4 linked regions of the Arabidopsis thaliana genome follow. The protein of the gene in region 1 interacts with the protein of each later gene in a pairwise test. Each region holds a gene or a part of one and is shown in the gene's direction. Other genes may lie near its edges. The genes, in order: AT3G57220, EMP1, AT3G08930 and ERD2.

Region 1 (5,382 bases):
TGTACATGATTGATCCTCAGCATTACACACTTGTGGTTTTTCTTTCCTCTCGCTCTGTTTTGCTAGGTCCTTATCAATTAGGAAGGTTCTGCAATTACGTTTCCAGAACTCCTGTCATCAAGTATCAAATTATCTCTCTACCTTCCATTCTTCAGATTTATGGTTTTCCTGAAATGTGAAGTTTGGTTTCTCAACATCTTTAGCTTCTTATGAGTCACTCAGCTGATGTCACAAACAGCTTCATGTTGACTTAAACCTTACAGAAACTTAATGTTTCAGACTGAGAACATGAGCAATAATTTAGAAGAGAGTACTTAAGTCAAATTAGTAGCAACCAGGCATTGACAAGTACTGATAAGGTTGTGGACCATAACAACCAATAAGAACAACTTAAAAGAACTTATACATGTTGGACGTATGATTTAGTAGTTACTGCATTGTTTAAACTTTTCTTGTTAAAATCTTTCTTACACTTTGATACAAAAGAAAAAGATGGTCATATTCTTAAATACTTTATAGTTTGTGCCTTTTTCATGTGATACATAACTCTGAAATCTAAAATAAATTCTTATTACATACAGAAACTATTCAAGGTGGAGACATTTAGGAAACCGTACAACACACAGAAACCAGTCCACTTAACATTTTACCAAATTAATAAGTTTAATAATATCATCTCTAATCCAAATTTTGAACCGCCATGGTTTTTGTAAGCCTTGCGCCGTCAAAGTTTAGATATCCGCCATGGTTTGGGAATGCTGAAACGCCGTAAGAGAAGTTTCACGCTCAGACTCGTACCCTTTTTGGGTATACTTTCGGATGGCTGATTCTATGGATCTTGTTTTGCGAAGACGATGAGCCAAGCCAACGCCATGGTTTGTGCGCCGCCGCCGCCATATCTGCCGTGATTTGTGAATTAAACGCTGGGACAGAAGTTTGCTACTCGTAGCCTTCTTTTTGGGTATGATATCTGAGCTTTGATTCCAACCGTCGAGACTAAAGCATCCCGTAGTCTCATTGAAGGTTTCTTCTAACTACAGCTATGCGATCAAGGTTCTGACCACAGCGAGCCTTACAAAAGTCAATGTACCTTATGTAGACAGTTGCATTCTTAGCAGTGAGAGAGGACTCACTGGGTGGCTCCATAGTTTGAATGGCTACTGACACAATCCTCAAGCCGGAAAGATCATGATCCGTGGTGGTCCTATCAGATATGGCAACAGAAAGTTCCAGATACAGACGAATCCAGTCATTGGCTCGCAGCTCTGATTCATCATCCACCACGTAAAATCGGTTTCTGTTTTCGAAAGGGTTCTCCAGCGGGAACTCAGGCAAGCTACCCATGCGGTAGAATTCTCTTTCCAACGACGTTTTAATGATTGTCCCTAAAATATACAATGATGAATGAAATACTAGTTGTTGTAATAATAATAATGATGTGTTAATGAACACGCCTACCCAAGTAAGGAGTCACATGTAGTATAATAATAATTTAATTACCTGGACGACGTCTTTCAGCAATAAAGGAGGTCAAAACAAGCCGGCCACAAGCTTCTTCATAAACGGAAGTCTGAAAAGTAAAACGCCTTCCACTAGATGGCTGCATTGCAACCAAAGTAATGTAGAAACAGCAAGCACCAGCAGCCAGAGTCCTGTTGTATCTCTTAACGTGAGAGAGCTTTAAGTTTGTCCCCTGATAAATCAAAAACGAAATTTGAATAAAAAGAAGAGCAAGAGTGGATAAAGAAAGAGAAGAAAGGAAGACAAGAGTCTTACACTTTGATTAAAAAAAAGATAGTATAGTTAGTAATTGCCTAATTAATTTCACAAAGAGAGATGATAATCAAAGAAGTTAAATAAGTCTATGGGATGCATTCTTAATAGTAATCTTGTTAACTTCTTTCTTACATTATGAGTCTTTGATTATATAAAAAAAAAAGATATTAGTAATTTGCCTAATTTCACATGAATCCCATAGACTTATTTATTTCTTTATACTTTGCTTTTTTGGGCCTTTTTGATAATTCATAAATAAGTGGTGTTGATACGATGTCGTATTGTTGTGCGTGGGCAAGTTGTAATTAAATGCTACAGGCTTTGAAGCTTCAGCGAAAAGTGGAAGAAGCAAATCCAGAGGCGGGGAACCAGAAATAGCCAACGGATCCGCCATGACTGCTCGTAAGAGAACTCCTTCAGTGTCCAATTCGGAGAAACTAGCTCTACCTGAACCTGCATCTTCCCCGACGGTTCAGAAGACCTCTGTTTCCGGAGAGGATTTCCAGCTCGCGCCGCCGAAATTGGGCGTGATTTTCGTGATCTCTTCGCTTCTGTGTTCGCTTTATCTTTACCTTCTCTGTTTCCACTACAATGTTGACAATGAGCTCAAGCGTCCGATCCTCATTAACGCTGGGCTTAGCTTGGTTGGATTCTTTGTCACACTCAAGTTGATTCCTGTAGCTGCTAGATACGTTCTGAGGCGTAATATGTTTGGTTTTGATATCAACAAAAGAGGCACTCCTCAAGGAGAAGTTAGAGTGTATGTTTTTCCTTCTTAGATTTGTCTTTGTTTAGTTCTCAGATTAGTGTTCAGCGTTTTTCTAGAAATGGATGTCTCTTAGATTTGATTTTTTGTATAGGAGGAAAACTATGAGATGTCTCATTTTCTGATTGATGTTCTATGGATGTTTACGCTTGATTTGATCTCAGGGGACTTAAAGTCTTTTGATGTGCTTATTTTCAGCAATCTTATTTCTTTGTAGGCCTGAGTCATTGGGAATTGTTGTCGGTATTGTCTTCTTGATAGTGGCGATTGTATTTCAGTTCTTTAATTTCACTGAAGATTCGGTGGTAAGTGTCCTGGTCTCAAAAGCTCAAGCTTGATCATTTATTTATTGTGAACTATGAACTTGGTAGCTCTTGGCTCATTTACTTTGAATGCAATTTATCAATCTGGCTAAATGACTCGGTGCAGTGGCTTGTGGAGTATAATGCAGCACTGGCGTCTATTTGCTTCATGATATTGCTTGGATTTGTAGATGACGTCCTTGATGTGCCTTGGAGAGTGTAGGTGCAGTTCTCATTTTGTTGGATTAAAAATTCATGATTTAGTTTTGTTTTCTTATTAACTCTTGTCAATTTGCAGGAAACTTCTCTTGCCATCTTTTGCAACCCTTCCACTGTTGATGGCTTATGCTGGACATACAACTATCGTCATACCGAAACCTTTAGTTTCTTATATTGGCTTGGAAGTGTTTGATCTAGGTACAATTCATCTTGTATATAGTGTTAAACCATCAATAGCTATTTTGAAATTCATTTCCTTAGTTGTATATTTATCGTGGCAGGACGTATATATAAGTTATATATGGCGCTACTGGCTGTCTTTTGCACAAATTCTATTAACATTCACGCTGGTTTGAATGGCCTTGAAATCGGTCAAACCGTAGTTATTGCAGCTGCTGTAAGTTCTGCTGTCAAAATGCGTCGCAATGCTTCATTTTTTTGGTCCCATTTTTCCTTCTGTTGGTTTCTCGTAAGTAAAGTTATGATAAATCTCAGTAACTTGTAGATTCTGATACACAACGTTATGCAAATCGGAGCATCTGTTGATACTGAGTATCATCAAGCTCATGCCTTCTCAATCTATCTTACTCAGCCATTGATGGCAACATCCTTGGCAATGCTTGCCTACAATTGGTAATCTTTGGATCTTTCAAGTCATTTTCTCTTAAATCAATCAGGTAAACTAGCAAAGCAGAATGCTTTCTCTAACCACGTTCATGTCCCCTCTTTGGTGATGTTAGGTACCCTTCTGCAGTTTTTGTTGGAGACACTTACACAGTCTTTGCTGGAATGACTATGGCAGTTGTTGGCATTCTCGGTCACTTCAGGTATACTTCTAACCATACCGTCCTTATTGCAATGTACTTAGATTCATCATTTACATTTAACTTATGTGTGAGCCTTCAATTAACTAACTACTTATGAAACTTTGCTTTTTGCAGTGAAACCCTGTTAATCTTTTTTCTTCCTCAAGTGTTGAACTTTTTACTGTCACTTCCGCAGGTTTGATACCTTTCTCCATCTCACACTTTCTGTTACTTTTCAATACATTTGAAAGCATCTAACTTGCTATTGTATAACTCTTCAGCTTGCTGGCATTGTCAAATGTCCACGACATCGTCTCCCCAAGTAAGCTATTTTTTGTCCATTTTTCATAAGAGGCAAAGCCAACAAGTAAACAACACATGACTCTTCCTCTCTCTTTTTTAAACCAGGTATGATCCTGCTACGGGACTGTTAACAGGAACAAAAGATGGGACACTCGTGAACGTCTACTTGAGGATTTTTGGTAGGAAAACAGAAAAGTCTCTATGTATTCATCTTCTTGTTTTCCAGGTAAACTTGTTAATGCCCATATTATCATCTCTAAATACAAGTTGGTTTATTCTGAGAGAGAGAAATCACAAGATTGGTGTTTTGTGTGTTCTATTGCAGGCTCTTGCTTGCGCATTTTGTTTCATGCTTAGGCATTTTCTAGCTGGTTGGTACAAATAAATCTCTGCAACATGAAGAAACTCTAAACCTGTTCCTCTTTTCATCTCTCTCTCTGCCTTCACAAATCATACAAACACAGAACTTGTTTTGCTTCATGTCCAACAATCTACTAGAATCATCGTTTTAGTTCACTTATATAGAGAGTTTTCATCTAAAGGCGAGTGTATCTCAACAATATAAAGCCAATGAAATGAATCAGAACAAATTTGTCTTGGAATTTAAATTTAACTACAAATGCTGATCTTATTTTGATAACTTTGATTAATAAACTAAATAATTTTTAGATTAAAGTTTTGCTAATATAGCATGCATTAAATGAAGTGTCCATTTACATATATTTTTGAATTTTAAAAATGCGCTTTTAATATTAGACAGACTACTGTCGTACTAGAATAATAAAGAATGTAATAAAAAAATAGAAGGAGAATCGGAAAAGAAACCCACTTATAGAATGCCATGTGTCAAAACATAACAAGCGAAGTATGTTTATATAGTAAGAAAACTCTTTTGCCCTAAATATCCCAAATTGTCATATGTTCTTTCCTTATGTGGCTCTCTCTTCTCTTTCTCTTTCTCTTTCCTTTTTCTCTTTCGATCAACAAAACCACATCTCTGAACTGAACCAATTTCTCTTCTCCCCCTTCCGGTTATCGGATTACCAGATCTCGTTTCCCGCGATCTAGTTTATTCTTTGAAAAAGGTAAATGTTCAATTTTTTTATTTTATTCAAAATCTCCCCTGGATTCAGGAGATGATGATTTGAAATTGACGATGATGTTTGTGTGTAAAAGTGATAGAAGCAGAAATGGGAAGGGGCAAGATCGC
Region 2 (5,386 bases), on another chromosome or scaffold:
GTGAACTGGCAATTGCAGAATAAGCTTATCACTGTGACACCGGAGACCAAGGTCTTGCGTGCTATGCAACTGATGACAGGTAAGCAGACAACTTGATATTTTTCCACTAAAGATACAAGCTTTTGGGTTTAAAACCTACTGAAGCAAATAAAAATGCGGGTTTGTGTTTTTGTAATGTACAGATAACCGAATCAGGCATATTCCGGTAATCAAAGACAAGGGCATGATTGGAATGGTGTCCATAGGAGATGTTGTCCGTGCAGTGGTTCATGAGCATAGAGAGGAGCTTCAACGCCTAAATGCGTATATTCAGGGAGGTTACTAGATCTTGAATAATGGAAAGAAAAGAGTTCCCTGTTGTGTCGTCTGGTCTTGTGCTGCTGAATCTGAAAAGCTTCCAGATCAGTGTAAATATGCAGTCCTCGTTGTTATTGTTGTTGTTGTTGTGTTTGATGTTTTGTGTTGTTTCGTTGTTTAACTTGTCAAAACTAAGGCCTTGTGCTGCTTCTCTTCTTGCGCTTACTTAGCAAGAGAATAAAACCAAAAACTCTGATCTCTTTATGAAAGATATGATGTTTGTTTTTGTTATCAAATCTTGCGTCAAGTATCCATGTGTGTTATGAAATAATAGAATTACTTTGAAAATTTGATTTCGGTACAAAGTTTCCGTGTCTTTGGACCATGAAAAATATCTTAACAAGTAAACCAATTCTTTGAATACAAACAAGTAAACCAAGGCAAAATATAAAACGATAGATTTTCTTCAAATCAAATCGATTATGGTGTGGTCACAATATCGTCTCTCAAGGGATCAAACTCCGGTGACCAAGCTTGCACCATGAGATAGCGATCAAACGCCCTCCATGGACCTCCTGTCAACGCTGCCATGTATTCCTCCTCCGCTTCGAACCGAATCATGAAAAACTTACGAGGGAGATCCACAACAGACATTGCTCCTCGTGGTTTCCACATCTCTCGAAGCTTTCTACTTAATGCTGATATTGTCATGTTACGCCCGGGCACTTTCACGATCAAGCTGTTCTTCAACAAACCATTCATCGCCGCCAATACCTCACTGCCAATTGTTATCACTGGTTCTCCATCCTCACCATCAGGGAACTCCAGTGTCATTTGCTCAGACACAAACTCATCATCTAAGATATCATTCGGATTTAGGATACCACCTAAATGTCCCCCCACCACTTTCTTCACCCACGAACCCGGTGCATCAGGAGGGTCTCCCGGAGAATGACCTTTCTCTCCTAGGTCCGTCATGGTCACATCTTGCGTTTCAGATCTCAAGCCTCCGGCGGCGTCGCCCATTTTCTCTCTATCGATTATATTGAGACCACATTTTAACACAATCTTAAAAATGTATAGCAAATGCTTAAAAATCTTGATTGACTTTAATTAATCATGGTTTATCGGATTGGTTTATCCTAGGGTGGGCTTATCGAGTTAGGCCCATTGGTTATGTAGGCTTATAGCTCGTAGAAAGACTTCATGCGTAGTGACGTGGTGAATTATTAATGGTTGATAAGGATCAAACATAAACGAGCCAAACCGGAAAAATAAACCGGGAAGTATTAAATCACAATTAGAGGCGGGTCTTGGTCTCGAGTCTCGAAGCGTATAAGAGTCAAATACAACTGTAGCGTAGCTTCAGATCTGGTTATTTTCTTCCTTCGTGTGGAACAGCCATGGCTATGGAGTTTCTGAGGAGCAGTAGAAGAATATTGGAATCTTCTGGATGCGCGATCGCTTTGATTTTTCTGCTCTTCATCCATGGAGCTCACTCATTCTATCTCCCAGGTGTTGCTCCTCAGGATTTCGAGAAGGTAAAAACGTTTCGAATTTGTGCTTCTAGGCTTTTAGATCTGATTTGGATCTCCTGGATCTGCGTTTCGATTTCCGCTAGGATTAATCCGTTCTTGATTCCCGAGAAAGCTAGAGATAGTGAGAGTTGGAGTGCTGATGCACCGACTTTTGGTTTAGCTATTTTTCTAATAGAATTGGTGATTTCACTTCATTTCCGCTTCACTAATCTCTCGATCTGAACAATGTAGCGTCTTAGGCGAGCTATATCGATATTTATTCTTCTGGATTAGCCTTATTCGCTGTAATTTTGATTACCTTTGTTAGGTTCTTAGTGATCTCTCGCTCTTGATTCGCTTGCCATTACTACGAAATCCAAGTTATGGGTACAAGGGCAATGTCGGTCCTGCATGTTATATGACGAGTCTCAATCAAAGTAGACTTGCATGTTTCACTTCAAAATCATATTCAAATTTTGAGTCTTGTTTTCTTGTATGTTGCAGGGTGATGAGCTGAAGGTGAAAGTGAATAAATTAACTTCCATAAAGACTCAGCTTCCATACTCGTATTACTCCCTTCCTTTTTGTCGCCCTAGCAAGATTGTGGACAGTACTGAGAATCTTGGAGAAGTGCTTCGGGGTGACCGGATTGAGAATGCCCCATACTCGGTTAGTCTCGTATTCAATTTTTAATTTTGTAATTCATCAGGCTGTCAAAAATATTATGTCTGTGATTTAACTCTAACCCTTGCGGGGCTGAAACAATTGCAGTTTAAAATGCGGGAGGCACAAATGTGCAATATTCTCGGCCGGGTCACTCTTGATGCCAAGACAGCTAAAGCGTTTAAAGAAAAGATCGATGATGAGTACCGGGTCAACATGTAAGACCAAATACAGGCACTTTTCTTTGATTATTTGTATGAAGAACATGCTTTTCTCTGTCAGTTTTATTATAAGTGTTTCTGGTCTGTGTTAGGATCCTCGACAACCTTCCTCTGGTTGTTCCAATTGAAAGAGTCGACCAGGGTTCTCCCTCTGTTGTTTATCAGCTTGGTTATCATGTTGGTCTTAAAGGCCAGTACGAGGGGGTAAGTAGGTTTTAATTGTTAAGACACTAAATGGAATTCATGCTAGATCGTTCGATTTTCTAATTTTGTTTTTGCATACGCAGAGCAAAGAGCAGAAGTTCTTTATGCACAATCACTTGGCATTTACAGTCCGCTATCACAGAGATATCCAAACTGATGCTGCAAGAATCGTGGGATTTGAGGTTAAACCTTACAGGTGCAGTTCTTGTTCATAATTTGAATGTCTCTTGGGATCCCCTGTCATTCAGAACTGATATTCCCTCCGTTGATTTGTAGTGTGAAGCATGAGTATGAGGGAGAGTGGAGTGAGAAGACCCGTCTGACGACTTGTGATCCTCACACGAAACGCCTGGTCGTTAGCTCGGCTACCCCTCAAGAAGTTGAACAAAAGAAGGAGATTATCTTCACATATGACGTCGATTTCCAGGCAAGTTTTTTCTTAAGTAATCTGCGGTTTGTGTCTTAAAAAAATTTCATGAATTCTTGTTTTCAATAGTTTTTCTGATTTCCTCTTCTGTTTCTGTCCAGGAAAGTGAAGTGAAGTGGGCATCTAGATGGGATACTTATCTTCTGATGAGTGATAACCAAATCCACTGGTTCTCTATCGTCAATTCTCTGATGATCGTCCTATTCCTATCTGGTATGGTGGCAATGATAATGCTGAGGACCCTTTACCGTGACATTTCACGATACAACGAGCTCGAGACTCAAGAAGAAGCTCAAGAAGAGACAGGATGGAAGCTTGTCCATGGTGATGTTTTCAGACTTCCTACCAATTCTGATCTGCTCTGCGTCTATGTTGGAACAGGGGTCCAGTGTCTAGGCATGGTATTTGTCACAATGATCTTCGCCATGCTCGGATTTCTCTCCCCTTCCAATCGGGGTGGTCTGATGACTGCAATGCTCTTGCTCTGGGTCTTCATGGGACTCTTTGCTGGTTACGCCTCTTCACGTCTCTACAAAATGTTCAAAGGAACAGAGTGGAAGAGAATCGCTTTCAGAACAGCCTTCTTGTTTCCTGCAGTTGTGTCAGCAATCTTCTTTGTCCTAAACGCTCTCATCTGGGGACAGAAGTCATCTGGGGCTGTCCCCTTTGGAACAATGTTCGCCTTGATCTTCCTCTGGTTTGGCATCTCAGTTCCTCTCGTCTTTGTTGGGGGTTACATTGGGTTCAAGAAGCCAGCGGCTGATGACCCAGTGAAAACCAACAAAATCCCGAGGCAAATCCCAGAGCAAGCTTGGTACATGAACCCGGTTTTCTCAATCCTCATTGGAGGAATCTTACCGTTTGGTGCAGTCTTCATCGAGCTCTTCTTCATCCTCACATCCATCTGGCTCAACCAGTTCTACTACATCTTTGGGTTCCTCTTCCTCGTCTTTGTAATCCTCATTGTGACTTGCGCCGAGATAACCGTAGTACTCTGCTACTTCCAGCTTTGCAGTGAGGACTACCTTTGGTGGTGGAGATCATACCTCACATCAGGCTCATCAGCTCTCTACCTCTTCCTCTATGCCACGTTCTACTTCTTCACAAAGCTTCAGATCACCAAACTGGTCTCTGCGATGCTTTACTTTGGGTACATGCTCATCGCCTCCTACGCATTTTTTGTGCTCACAGGAACAATAGGGTTCTATGCTTGTCTCTGGTTCACAAGGCTCATCTATTCCTCTGTTAAGATCGATTAGAGGATATGATGATCATCATGGCGATTAAGGAAACAAAGAAGAAAAGGTGATCATAGTTTATCTTATTTTTCTTTTTAAAATCGGTTTTGTTGCATTTTAGGTTCTATTTTGTTGCATACCAAAAGAGATTTTAATATATGTAATAGAGTGTATTTTGTTTGATTTGTCAAATAACAACACTTTCTGAGAATTTTTGCAATATAACCAATTTTTATAAATAAACTCAAATGAGAACAACAATCAATCATGGTTTGGTGATATCAAACTCTAACTTTTCCTGCAATCATAAAAGCTTTGTAAACGACGGAACGAACCAGATCAGAACCTCCCCAAGCGGTTTCAAGCTCTCTCACCAAACTCTCCGGTAACAACTCGACGCCTTTCTCTCTCGCCGTGACGATGGCCGACCATGATTTAAACATCCTTATGATCCCTTCAAACGACGTCGTTTTAGGCATCTCCAGCTTTAATGGCTCCCCTTCTGATCCCATCCCAACATTTTCGAAAGGAAACGGCAATGCTTCGTACGAATCGAAGATGTGCTGAATGTACGGATACTTCCAAAACGGCAGCGTTGTGGCGTGGAGCCGATACTGGACGGCGTCGAACTCTGGACTCACTATGACGTCGTTGTATCCCCAGACAGCGATGATTCCGCCTGGTTTACGGAGGAGTCGTGTGGCCACTGAGTAGAACCTAGGGAGATCGAACCAGTGTACGCCTTGGGCGACCGTGATTAGATCCACTGAGTTTTCTCCTCCGATTAATTCCACTAGCTCGTCGTCGGTCATTGACGTC
Region 3 (6,578 bases), about 18 Mb from region 1:
AACCCGCCGCCTGCTCCGGGAGGCGGAGCCTGGCTTGTTAGACCTTCTTCTCCATATTGATCATAGATGGCTCTCTTTTGAGGATCACTCAAAACCTTACAAAATCCAACAGCATAAGGAATCTATCAAACACAATTCTACAAGCAAATCAAGATTACTTAATTGCCAGAGAAGTAACCATAGTGAATTGACAAACTACACAATTGCTCAAATTCAAGCAAAAGATGGGAATCTCTCTGAAAAGAGAAAACGCATTTTGTTAATTTACATCGTAAGCTTCGGAGATCTGCTTGAATTTGGCTTCGGCGTCTTTTTTGTTGTTAGGGTTCTTGTCTGGATGCCACTTCATGGCGAGTTTGCGATAAGCTTTCTTCAAGTCGTCGTCTTTCGCATTCCGATCCACCTGAAGAACCTTGTAATAATCGACCCCCATTGCTATACCTCCTCCTTCTTCTTCTTCCTCTTTGATTCGCTCTTCGAATTTCACTCGATCTTCTTCAATGGGAAAAACTCTAGCGGATCATTCCGTACCGGTTCGAAATATTTATCGAGATACAAGAAATACCCGACCGGTTCTTTTATTTGGTCTTTACCGGTTCTGTTTTTGGTTCGGCAAACCTAGCTCAAAAGTCAAACCTTATCAGAATTAAGAATCACGGTGTCGTTTCAAAGAGAGGAAATTTACACTTAGTAGCCCTATATATTTATTATTTAACATTTGACCCCACTAGTATATGTTTGTTACTTTACTTTAAGCGAGGGTGATAGTCAAATTATGAAATATCTGAGGGCCTAAAATGGAAATAAGTAAGAAGTTTTGGGGTGTTCTTAAAATGAAAAATCTGAAGAACAATATCATTGGTTAAATTCCTCTGAAAATCCAAAAGAATTAAAGATGACAGTTCTTCTTCCTCAGCTAAACCATATCCACAAGCTACCAGTAGTACTAAACCGACGCCTCCGACAATCATACAGATTACCAGTGATCTCCGCCGTTTCCGGTAAAGAGCTGATACTTTCCGGCAAGGTACGGGCGGTGGAGCCCAAAGAAGCCAATGCGGTTGTGGCGTCGGAGGGATATATACTGTTAGACGTGAGGCCGGCTTGGGAAAGAGAAAAGGCACGCGTGAAAGGTTCCTTACACGTGCCACTGTTCGTGGAAGATCCAGACAATGGGCCGATCACGTTGCTGAAGAAATGGATTCATTTGGGATATATTGGGCTTTGGACGGGCCAGAGATTCACCATGATCAATGACGAATTCGCCCTCCGTGTTGTGGAGGCTGTCCCGGACAAAGAGAGTAAAGTGCTCGTCGTGTGCGGTGAAGGACTCAGGTACCAGCTTTATATGTTGCATTTTGGTTAATCATTGCCAGTTTTAGTCCAGATTTTAGAGAAACTTATCAAACTAAATAAACTATTAATCAATCGATTTGATCATAGAATCTTTTGGTTTGGATAGTATAAATTAAACTGAACTCTTTGGTTCGGTTTGGTTGTTATAAATGGTGTTGCTTTTCAATCTCATTCTCAGGTCGTTGGCGGCTGTATCAAAGCTCCACGGAGAAGGGTACAAAAGCTTAGGGTGGTTAACCGGAGGGTTTAACCGAGTATCCGAGGGAGATTTTCCAGAGATCGAAGGGACCGAAGAGCTTCGGTTCGCCACGATAGGAGGTGTATCATTTTATTTACTCAAACTACTTGTACTGTTACCGTCTTTTGGCCAGAAGAGTCGTTAAATTGGTTTTTTGGAGCCAAGTGTGAAGACATTTTTTGTTTTTAAAATTGTGTCCGGTTTACACAATTGGTCACTGGTTTATTACTTACAGATGTCTTTCATTAGTTGAAATATTTTGTCCGAATCATTTGCTTCGGACAGCTAATCTCCAAACCTAGTAACAATTTACGTTTACACCCAAAGCCATTAGGCACGAGAGCACATTGTTGAGGGTAGCTTCGTAATTTACAAGAATGTTCATCCTCTCCCAGTCCTCTTTCTTCTTCCCTCGTCTGGTTTTCGAGAGGGAAAAAAAGAAAGAAATCCAGATCTACTAAAATCCCCAAATTCAATTTTCAAAATTTGAACTCCTAGAAAACCCTAGCCTTTGCAATTGGGTGCTACATCTTCCAAATCGTTCCGGGATCGAAATCTCTCGAATTGGGGACGTTGTACATTGCACACGATGGGCGATTTCAACCTCGCTCTCGTGATTGTCGCGATCGTTGTTTGCGTCATCGTATTCATCTCTAGCATCTATCTTCTCGTCAACTATCAGCATCCAGATGATGCAAACCAGGCTTATTTCCCCAAATTCGTCGTTGTTTTTGGCCTTTCTATTGCTATGATCTCGATTCTCATGTTACCGGCTGATGTGGCCAATCGGCATGCTTGTCGACATGCTATATACAATGGAGCTTGCAATCTCACCTTGCCCATGAAGGATCTTTGGCTTGCTATTTATATCGTGGACGCTATTCTCGTGTTCTTTGTCATCCCCTTCGCAATGTTTTTCTATGAAGGCGACCAGGACAAGTTCGTAGCTTGATGAAATTTTAGTATCTCTATGTTGTAAGTTTTGAGTTAATCGAATACTGATGACAATTTGTGGGCTTTTTTTCTTTCGTTTTTTCACAGGACTCTTGGAAAGAGGATAAAAAGTGCCTTAATTTGGGTAGTTACCACGGCTGTTGTTTGTGCTCTGGTGCTTGGAATTTTATATGGTTAGTTGTTCCTCTGTTTTCAATTCTTTTGTCGACTTGAAATTCAGCGTCTTTCTGTATTGACGAATGACGATAGTCTGGAGGTTATACTTGTTTAGCTGGAGTGGTTATTGAATCCATTAGTGAGCATGTGGCAAGGATGAATCTGATGTTGGTCTCTATGATTTGACTGCATTCTTATGTTAATTTTGGCTTTTAAATTACCCAATCAGGGCTTGGGTTGAGATATCTATCTTATCCATTTATATGCTAGGAATACCTTAACATTATTGGTAACATCTTCATCATGTAGGTGTCATTGGAAAGGTGGACTTCTCGGTCAGGCATTTGGCTTCTGCCACATCCACTTTCCCTACTTCCTGGCAGTTTTCAAATACTCAACCATGCATAGGTAACACTGCTCGCCAGGTATGTTTGCCTCTTGAATGTAGCATTAGCATTAGTTTTTATATCATGAGTCATTTATGCCGTAGAGAGTTTCAGCATTTAACATATTCCTGTCTCTGGCTATCAATGCAGTGCTCAGCATTTACAGCTAATCCCACATCTGAGAAAACATGGACTATGCGTACTACTTTTCCAGAATATGTTGTTGCTCTTGCGACAATTGTTGGGTCAGTTCTTTTCACGGTATGACCATTGTTCTTTCATGTTGAGAAGTGCATTGTTTGCTTTGAAAGGATTTAATCTGTCTTATATTGTTGATTCTTCATTGACTAACACAAACTCTCAACAGATGAGATGCATGGCAAGATATAATTCTGTATCCATTGAAGTAAATAGATGTTTGATTTATACATTTCAGTAAAAAAAATCTGATAACTAATTGTTCTCTCAAATATTTCTAGATATTTGGTGGTGTTGGTATTGCATGTCTACCATTAGGACTTATCACTGCATTCATCAGGCGACCAAAGGCTGTTATCACTCGATCACAATATATAAAGGTCTGGTTATTGTTCTCCTCTGGAAGCATCTCTCTAGATCTTGAGTCAATCCCTCTGTCTCTTGCATGATTAACTCCATAAATATATTACAGGAGGCAACCGAACTAGGTAAAAAGGCAAGAGAACTAAAGAAAGCAGCTGATGGACTTCATCAGGAAGAAAGAAGTGGTGCTAAGGGCAGGAAATGGCGGAAAAATGTGAAAGCAGTTGAAAAGGTACCTCATATATCTCAAGGTTCAGTATCTTATCTAAATTTTGTTTCATAAGTAGCAACTTGGAAAGTTTGCCTATTCATACTGGTCCCTTGTGTGTAAAGAGGCTTTGGTCGTCTGTGGAGTTATGAGAATGACAACTTGTAGTGAAAAGCTAGTGAGATAGTAGAATTGGTTATTGACTTTATTGGTAGCTTTTCTTTGCTTGGTTGTGGATTTAAGCTGTGTCCCCTCAATCCTATAATTGAATGTGGTAACCCTGCAGGAGTTGCTCCAATTGGAGGAAGATGTGAACCTCTTAGAAGAGATGTATCCTCAAGGAGAGCAGGTAAGACGAGTGTATCTTAGAACTTATACTATAATATTTTTCTTGTTCAACTATTTTATTCCCTGGTACCTTTTTCCAGGCAGAAACTGCATGGGCTTTCACTGTGCTCGGATACTTGGCCAAGTTTATTCTTGGAATCGTAGGGTTAGTACATCTAAGCAGAAACCTCCTTTGCATTTTTTTTTGTTACATGTTGTATAAATCATGCATAATGCATACAGTTCTTGCATATTTAGGTTTGCACTCTTAAGCTCCCGAGCTAAGCGTCTTTTTAAATGGCAAATTTTTAATGTCTTTGTAGATTGATCGTTTCCATTGCTTGGGTTGCACACATCATCATATATCTACTCGTCGACCCTCCTCTCTCCCCTTTTCTTAACGAGGTTTTCATTAAGCTTGATGATGTTTGGGGTAAGTTCATACTTTTGTCCTTGTTATCCTGTATAAGGTTTCTTCTTTGTTTCTAACTGACTCCATGCTGGTACGTGTGGAAATCTCCAGGTCTTTTAGGCACTGCTGCCTTTGCTTTCTTCTGTTTCTACCTTCTACTTGCTGTTATCGCTGGGGCAATGATGCTGGGTTTGAAGCTGGTCTTCATTACCATTCATCCAATGAAGTAATCCATCTAACCGGTTTCAACATTATTTGGCTATTTTCCAAGGTCATTCATTACCTTCTCTTGATTGCTGATTGGCCATATCAACTTATTTCAGATGGGGAGCTACTCTAATGAACTCTTTCCTCTTCAATGTCGGCCTCATTCTTCTTTGTTCAATCAGGTAAGTCTCTCTGGTCTCTTCTTCTGCCTTTGTATCTGTTGGGATCAAGTGCACTCTGATAAACGGATCTAGATCAAGCATGTTTATGTGCATACATTAACTTATCAGTGTTTTCATGCCATCACTAAAACTAATTTCCTTTCCGGCGAATGCCTGAATCGAAGTTTATAGTTACTTTACTCATGCACTTGGGTATCCTTTGTACTCTATTAGATGTCAAACCAAGACTTTTAATATACAGCTGCTACCCTCACAATTACATGTTAATCCTCACAGTCTGAGTAATGTGGTTCATTTAAAATGCAGCGTGATTCAATTTTGTGCCACTGCATTTGGATATTACGCTCAAGCCACTGCTGCCCAGGAGATATTTGGCCACACATTGCAGTCCCTTAGAGGAATTAAGTACCTTTACAAGTAAGTAGAAGTGGTATAACATATAGCAGTCATATGCTATATCCGTGATGCGTCTTATTGAGGTTTTATATTTCAGGTACAATGTGTTCCAAATCGGGTTTGTTATCCTGGCTGGACTGACTTTCCTATATTACATTGCCTTTGTAAGTCCTCGTTGATGTTACTCCTCGGGTTTTCTCTTCTGTATTAAGTATTTGTAGAATCATATGGTCTTTGGTGTTTTGGCAGGGATGGAGAAGAAAAAAAACTAGTGGCCGTTTCCAGCTCTCTTCTTAATGTAAAACGTTTTCACGGGGATCTGATTGAGTGCTGTCGACAAAGTTTCTACTTGTTTCTGGATCATCATCGATTCCAGAAGTATCTAGAGACTCTGCTTCTGAGGTTTATTTTCCTGAATGTATTATTAAATTTCTTGTGAGTGTGCTGTTTGGTTGCGCAACAGTTAGCTGTCCTGTCTTGGTCTATTGTACTGTCTCGGATGCGATCATGTAATCATATTTTCTTAATGAGAAGCCTTCTTCGAATTTTTACAAGACAGAGACTTCCTTTGTGGTTTGAGACAATTGTAACCGAACCTAACCGGATTATCAATATTCTTGAATTTGTTTAGTATGCAAGGCATACAACTATACAAGTGGACATGTGCTGCTGAAGTGACAAGTGGCGTTGCTATGCGATTCGTCAATAGCTTCTTTTGCCCAATCAGCTTGCTTGCCTCATCTAACTCTAAAAGACAGACAGGATAGATAACGCGAGCTTTTTATAGATAAGGCTGATTTTGTTTCCTACCGTCAGATGGATTTGTTTCTCCATCTAACCGTCAAGATTCGTTCTCTGAGATCTCTCCCACACACATACCGCCACTTAAAAACGCCATTTGCTTCAGATAAGTTACAAACCGCAAACGCGACAGAACTAACTAACGACGCCGGAGATGGCCGCCACTTCAACCGCCGCTGCTGCTTCTTCAATCATGGGTACCCGGGTGGTTTCCGACATTAGCTCCAATTCAAGCCGGTTCACAGCCCGGTTCGGATTCGGAACCAAGAAAGCATCTCCCAAAAAGGCTAAGACGGTTATCTCAGACCGGCCTCTATGGTTCCCAGGCGCAAAATCACCCGAATATCTCGACGGTTCACTTGTCGGGGACTACGGGTTCGATCCTTTTGGTTTA
Region 4 (5,082 bases), on another chromosome or scaffold:
GTGTAGAAAAATGTTAAGCTAAAGGGAAGTTCACTTTCTTTAACCAAGTTTTGCGTTTTGCAAATTACAACTAAAGAATCCACTAAAGCTAACCCAACTAAATTCAAACATTTTTCTATGTGATCAGTTTACCATCAAACTATTTCATATTTTTGCAATGTGTAGTAAAAACTTTCTTTGTTACATTATATGCTTCTTTTATAAGCAAAAATACCATATTACATTACATGTTCATTTCATTTTTGTTTGGTATTTGCGCTTACAATTTACAAAATGATTTTGTTTGATACTATTTACATTTACATGTGAAATTATTGTGTTCATCGTAAAACGTTCAAAATTTCTAAAAATTGTAAGAAATTATTGTAAATGTAAACAAAGTCGGTTTCCTATAAAACCACACGTCTGAACCACCTTAATCATCATCACAACATGAAATTACAAAAGCAGCGACTTTGTCGATTGCCGTAGTTTCATTGTAGCATAGATAATCCCGTCACGTGATGTTATCTATTTTTAACTGTTTCAATGTAGTCAGAAAAGCTATTTGTTTGATTTCAGAACTGTTTGATTAGTGGCCATTGAAAAATTCTATAATCTATAGTCAATAGTCTATACACAATTGAAAATGGTATAGTTGATTTTTTAAAATACGCCATTAAATAAAATTATATATAGAACTTCTCTATAATCGATAAAGTCGAACACTCCAGGCAACAAGCGGACCGACCACGGAGTCTAACGTAAGAGTATTATTAGTGATACTGTAGGTTTTCTTTGACTAACGATAAAGAAAAAACAAACATGTTTAATTTCTCGTGTCCTCTATATTCATGAGTCATGACGTTCATACAATTTATTCTTGTTTTAAATGACGTTCATACATCATTTTCATGGTTGTCTATTAGTTCACTAGAAAAACGAAGTCTTGAACGTTGAAGCGAAGCATTGAATATCATTTTATAATTTTATGGACTAAACTATACATTTCAATCATCTTTGCAAAAAAGAAAAAAAAAAATGAGTTAGATCATAAGGAGTCAGGACAACAGCTAGCACAAAAATCTCAAAATCCTATACTGTTTAACCCAAAACAACCGTAGAACAAATATTATTATACACCCAAAAAAAAAAACATATTTGCAATCACATTAGTTTGTAAACACTTCTATTTCGTTCCATAACCAAAAAAAAAAAAAAAAAAAAATCAACATTCAATTTTTTATTTTAAAACATGTTTGCATATGTTCATGGTATGACATTGGGTATTAATCTATCACAGAGAGCTAAAGCCCATATAAATAATAACAGAAGGCCCATATCTATTAATAACCAACTCTTAACCGGTCCATTCTAACTGTTTTTCTCAAATACAAAACACGTGGATAACACGAGGAATTAAAATTGAAGTTAAACACCACACCATGTCGCGTACGAAGCTGCCACATCACTGTTCTATTAACACGTGGCTTAATATGATGCAATATAGACCCACCGATAGCTGGCGCTTTCTAGTTTACCAAGGTGCGACGTACCAGATAACACCACCTCTCCACTTTTGAAAATTAAAACGCTCTCTTTTGGTAATTATTTAGGGAAACTTCGATAATTAATCGAATAATGAAGGACTAATTTGCAGTTTTAAGGAAATAAGTAAGCACACACGTTAGAGAAGAAAGACCGTTCCAGATTGCCACGTCATCGTCTCCTCTCAACGAGTTTCTGCAAAACCTGAAACGTGCTGCACCTTGCCTCTCTTTCTCTCTCTTCCTTCGTTTCTCTCTCGATTTGAAGAGAGAAAATTCGTTCGATTTCGTTTTCTCTTCTTCTTTTGGATTTTCCCGGAAAATTTTGGAATCGGTGAGTCTCTATCGATTACTGGTCAACCATGAATATCTTTAGATTTGCTGGCGATATGAGTCACTTGATCAGTGTCTTAATCCTTCTTCTCAAAATCTACGCGACGAAATCTTGCGCTGGTGAGTTCTCTCTCTCTCTCTCTCTTTCATGAAATGTGTTGTGTATATTTTGAAGACGAGCTCGTAGACGAAACAATCGCATTTTGCTTTGACCTTTTGTTTTCCTTTCCATAGCTTTCAAATGCAATCTTATTTGAATCCTGTTGAGGTCTATTTATCGATTTCGAGGCGAATCCGAGTTGGTAGATTGAAATTGCAAGTCAAAATAGTTGTGAAATCTCAATCTTCGAAACCACTATGGAATTTCTAAACGAGTGAGATCTCTCACCCCTAAATTGCATTAGGTTTAACGGAAAATTGCTACACGGAATGGAAAATGCTTGTAGATGCTCATGATTTTCTCATAGATTGTGCAGCTCCTAACATTGTTGCTGTTGACTTTTGGATTTTGTTGGCTAGGAATCTCTCTCAAGACTCAAGAGCTCTATGCGCTTGTGTTCTTGACTCGGTACTTGGATCTGTTTACGGATTATGTATCTCTGTACAACAGCATCATGAAGATTGTCTTCATTGCCAGCTCTTTGGCTATCGTTTGGTGTATGCGTAGGCATCCACTTGTGAGGAGGTCATACGATAAGGACCTGGACACATTTCGTCATCAGTATGTTGTGTTAGCGTGTTTTGTACTGGGACTTATCCTGAATGAAAAATTCACAGTTCAAGAGGTATTTTCATATGAATTTCACATTGCTTTTGTGTTTTTAGGTTGTAGAGACTAGGAAAGCGAATACTTGTTGTTAGAAGACATGCATATGTTGTGTAATCTTGTTTTTGGTTTATTTATTCATTTGATTCATTCGGTTCCTTCTTCTTATATCATTTGGATTTGGTAACTATCTTGGCTAGTGTAGAATAGAATATCGTCTATGTAAATGAAACTGAACATAACTCCTTCCAGAACCAATTAGGAGTCCGGCGTTTATAGTTTTATTTTTGCTTGTTTAAACGTTGTACTACCTATGTAGCCTCTCACTCGCTGATTGTTTTGAGAAACTCTTTGAATATCAAACTGTTGCATCGTGAAAGGTTTGTTTGCTTCCATTCATGGAATCTTCTGTGTCCTACCTACCTATGTTCCATAAGGTGCCCCATGGATTAGTGTCATCTGTATCTCGCTGTTACTTTTCTGGCCATTGTGTTCTTTGATTATCTTGTCATAAGAAACTGTAGTGACTCCTTATATGCACTTCACTAAGATCGTTTTCCCTTACTACCTTCATATGTATTTTTCCAGTATATGCTCTTGGTAAAGATCTGATCTTTGCAAACTGCCTTCACTCTTTAAGTATTTTTGCAGCATTGTGGCCTCTCTGTGTTGATAGCCAGAATCATTGTGCAATATGTTAATTCTGTGCATTCCAAACCATTTCAGGTGTTCTGGGCGTTTTCTATCTACTTAGAGGCAGTTGCTATCCTTCCCCAGTTGGTTCTGCTACAAAGAAGTGGGAATGTCGACAATTTGACTGGGCAATATGTTGTCTTTCTCGGGTACGTAATTCTAACCAGACATATGCGTTTGCTCACTTGATCTCCACTGGCTTCTCTGTTGGGTTTGTTTTTAGAATTGGTTTATCTTATATATATACTGTGTCTTTCACTGCTCATGCACTTGTTAACTTGATCAATGAGAATCGCTCTCCAGTGTCATTGTGGTGTTTAAAAATCAGTGCATATTTCTAAAGTCCAGACATTGTTTTCCGTTTAATGTTAATGCGTCTGGAAGCTGAGCTGAACTATATTTTTTTCTATAAAGGAAATCAGACTGCTTTACATCTTGCTATGCATTTGGTTCTGATGCATACCTTTGTGTCCAGTGCACAATATTTCAATGTGCAAAATTGAGTAAGTATTCTGTATGCACTCACATGGGCAATGATTAACATGCAGGGCGTATCGGGGACTCTATATTATCAACTGGATCTATCGCTATTTCACAGAAGATCATTTCACTAGATGGATTGGTAATGTTTCAACAAAGAAGCACTAAATGCATTTTAACCATTTGTTTTTCCTCAATGCTAATGTTTTACGTAAATCCATTTTCCAGCTTGTGTGTCTGGTCTTGTCCAAACAGCTCTCTATGCGGATTTCTTCTACTACTACTACATAAGGTAAAGTAACCTCACCAGTCTGAATAATATTCTCTTTATAGTTACTGATCATGTTACTGACTTTGGATCCTTTTTGATTTTGTTGTAGCTGGAAAACCAACACCAAACTTAAGCTTCCGGCTTGAAAAGAACCCGAATTTTTTTGCAATAGTATCAAAATCCAGGAAGTTACAGCAATGGTGACATTAGAAAAGAAAGACATGGTTAACATTTGGGTCCTCCCTCTTTCTAACAATGAGTTGAAAATTGAATGATGCAGGATTGTTGTTTAAAATGTGTTTTTTTTTTAGTCTTTAATGCACATTGTAACTTTCCCGACGATTTTAGACATTGAGAAGAGGCATCGTTTTATCAAAACTAGTCTTTATAGATAACACACAAACTCTGTTTCTTTTGTGCGAGTGTTTAGTTCAAAACTGTAGCTCAGATCAGAGCCAAGTTAACAATGTGTCTTCAAAACTTAAACCTAGTCTTCTTGATTGTGTTTCACTATCTTGGTCTTCTTCTTGTGCTCTCGTGTCTTCTTGCTTCTTAGCTCGTCTTTCTCTTCACCTTCAGAGACTTTTTCTCTACTGCGTTTCTCTTTCTTTGACTTTTTTGTTTTGACCGGAGCCTTCTCAATCTCGTCTTCATTCTCCTCATCGTCTTCACCCTCAAAGACTATTTCTCTACTGCGTTTCTCTTTCTTTGACTTCTTTCTTTTCACAGGAGCCTTCTCTGTTTCATCATCTTCCTGGTCCATGATCGTCATCTTCTCCTCTGTGGCAGCCTCAGCCACTGTGTTTGCTACAGCTGTCTCTGCTTCAACCATGAATCCAATCATTTTACAAACATACTAACAGAGGAATACAAACATAGATGCGATTTGTGAACGGCATTAGAAAACAAACAAACCTTCTCCAGAAAAGCCCGAGTCGAATACAAGACCTGTAAGATGCTGCTTCAAGAAAACCTGCAATAAAACAATGATATATAAGTAAGACTCAACTTCA

Evidence for each region.
Region 2: the proteins of AT3G57220 (region 1) and EMP1 interact in a protein complementation assay, tested with the Arabidopsis thaliana proteins (one large-scale study listed by BioGRID).
Region 3: the proteins of AT3G57220 (region 1) and AT3G08930 interact in a protein complementation assay, tested with the Arabidopsis thaliana proteins (one large-scale study listed by BioGRID).
Region 4: the proteins of AT3G57220 (region 1) and ERD2 interact in a protein complementation assay, tested with the Arabidopsis thaliana proteins (one large-scale study listed by BioGRID).

The regions. Positions count from the first base shown.
Region 1 is NC_003074.8:21,172,348-21,177,729, forward strand, and holds AT3G57220 (Glycosyl transferase family 4 protein), read left to right. Parts: upstream 1-2,047; 5' UTR 2,048-2,168; coding exon 2,169-2,536; intron 2,537-2,759; coding exon 2,760-2,847; intron 2,848-2,971; coding exon 2,972-3,063; intron 3,064-3,142; coding exon 3,143-3,261; intron 3,262-3,344; coding exon 3,345-3,460; intron 3,461-3,568; coding exon 3,569-3,696; intron 3,697-3,803; coding exon 3,804-3,890; intron 3,891-4,004; coding exon 4,005-4,065; intron 4,066-4,150; coding exon 4,151-4,191; intron 4,192-4,277; coding exon 4,278-4,398; intron 4,399-4,497; coding exon 4,498-4,557; 3' UTR 4,558-4,847; downstream 4,848-5,382. Other genes in the region: AT3G57210 (uncharacterized protein), read right to left, coding at 1,015-1,385, 1,501-1,606; AGL16 (AGAMOUS-like 16), read left to right, coding at 5,363-5,382.
Region 2 is NC_003076.8:3,424,112-3,429,497, reverse strand, and holds EMP1 (Endomembrane protein 70 protein family), read left to right. Parts: upstream 1-1,600; 5' UTR 1,601-1,700; coding exon 1,701-1,838; intron 1,839-2,318; coding exon 2,319-2,483; intron 2,484-2,585; coding exon 2,586-2,695; intron 2,696-2,790; coding exon 2,791-2,902; intron 2,903-2,985; coding exon 2,986-3,098; intron 3,099-3,178; coding exon 3,179-3,329; intron 3,330-3,430; coding exon 3,431-4,588; 3' UTR 4,589-4,810; downstream 4,811-5,386. Other genes in the region: CBSX3 (Cystathionine beta-synthase (CBS) family protein), read left to right, coding at 19-79, 183-325; AT5G10830 (S-adenosyl-L-methionine-dependent methyltransferases superfamily protein), read right to left, coding at 4,849-5,386.
Region 3 is NC_003074.8:2,711,379-2,717,956, forward strand, and holds AT3G08930 (LMBR1-like membrane protein), read left to right. Parts: upstream 1-1,933; 5' UTR 1,934-2,183; coding exon 2,184-2,533; intron 2,534-2,635; coding exon 2,636-2,721; intron 2,722-3,013; coding exon 3,014-3,129; intron 3,130-3,240; coding exon 3,241-3,351; intron 3,352-3,569; coding exon 3,570-3,668; intron 3,669-3,760; coding exon 3,761-3,883; intron 3,884-4,145; coding exon 4,146-4,208; intron 4,209-4,287; coding exon 4,288-4,352; intron 4,353-4,509; coding exon 4,510-4,619; intron 4,620-4,709; coding exon 4,710-4,824; intron 4,825-4,921; coding exon 4,922-4,987; intron 4,988-5,293; coding exon 5,294-5,404; intron 5,405-5,480; coding exon 5,481-5,547; intron 5,548-5,632; coding exon 5,633-5,680; 3' UTR 5,681-5,988; downstream 5,989-6,578. Other genes in the region: AT3G08910 (DNAJ heat shock family protein), read right to left, coding at 1-95, 269-433; AT3G08920 (Rhodanese/Cell cycle control phosphatase superfamily protein), read left to right, coding at 896-1,335, 1,535-1,739; LHCB4.2 (light harvesting complex photosystem II), read left to right, coding at 6,339-6,578.
Region 4 is NC_003070.9:10,257,713-10,262,794, reverse strand, and holds ERD2 (ER lumen protein retaining receptor family protein), read left to right. Parts: upstream 1-1,562; 5' UTR 1,563-1,888; coding exon 1,889-1,979; intron 1,980-1,986; exon of another isoform or gene 1,987-2,233; intron 2,234-2,378; coding exon 2,379-2,644; intron 2,645-3,351; coding exon 3,352-3,467; intron 3,468-3,866; coding exon 3,867-3,940; intron 3,941-4,026; coding exon 4,027-4,090; intron 4,091-4,178; coding exon 4,179-4,215; 3' UTR 4,216-4,547; downstream 4,548-5,082. Other genes in the region: AT1G29320 (Transducin/WD40 repeat-like superfamily protein), read right to left, coding at 4,557-4,891, 4,985-5,042. UniProt on the Arabidopsis thaliana protein: Required for the retention of luminal endoplasmic reticulum proteins. Determines the specificity of the luminal ER protein retention system. Also required for normal vesicular traffic through the Golgi. This receptor recognizes H-D-E-L.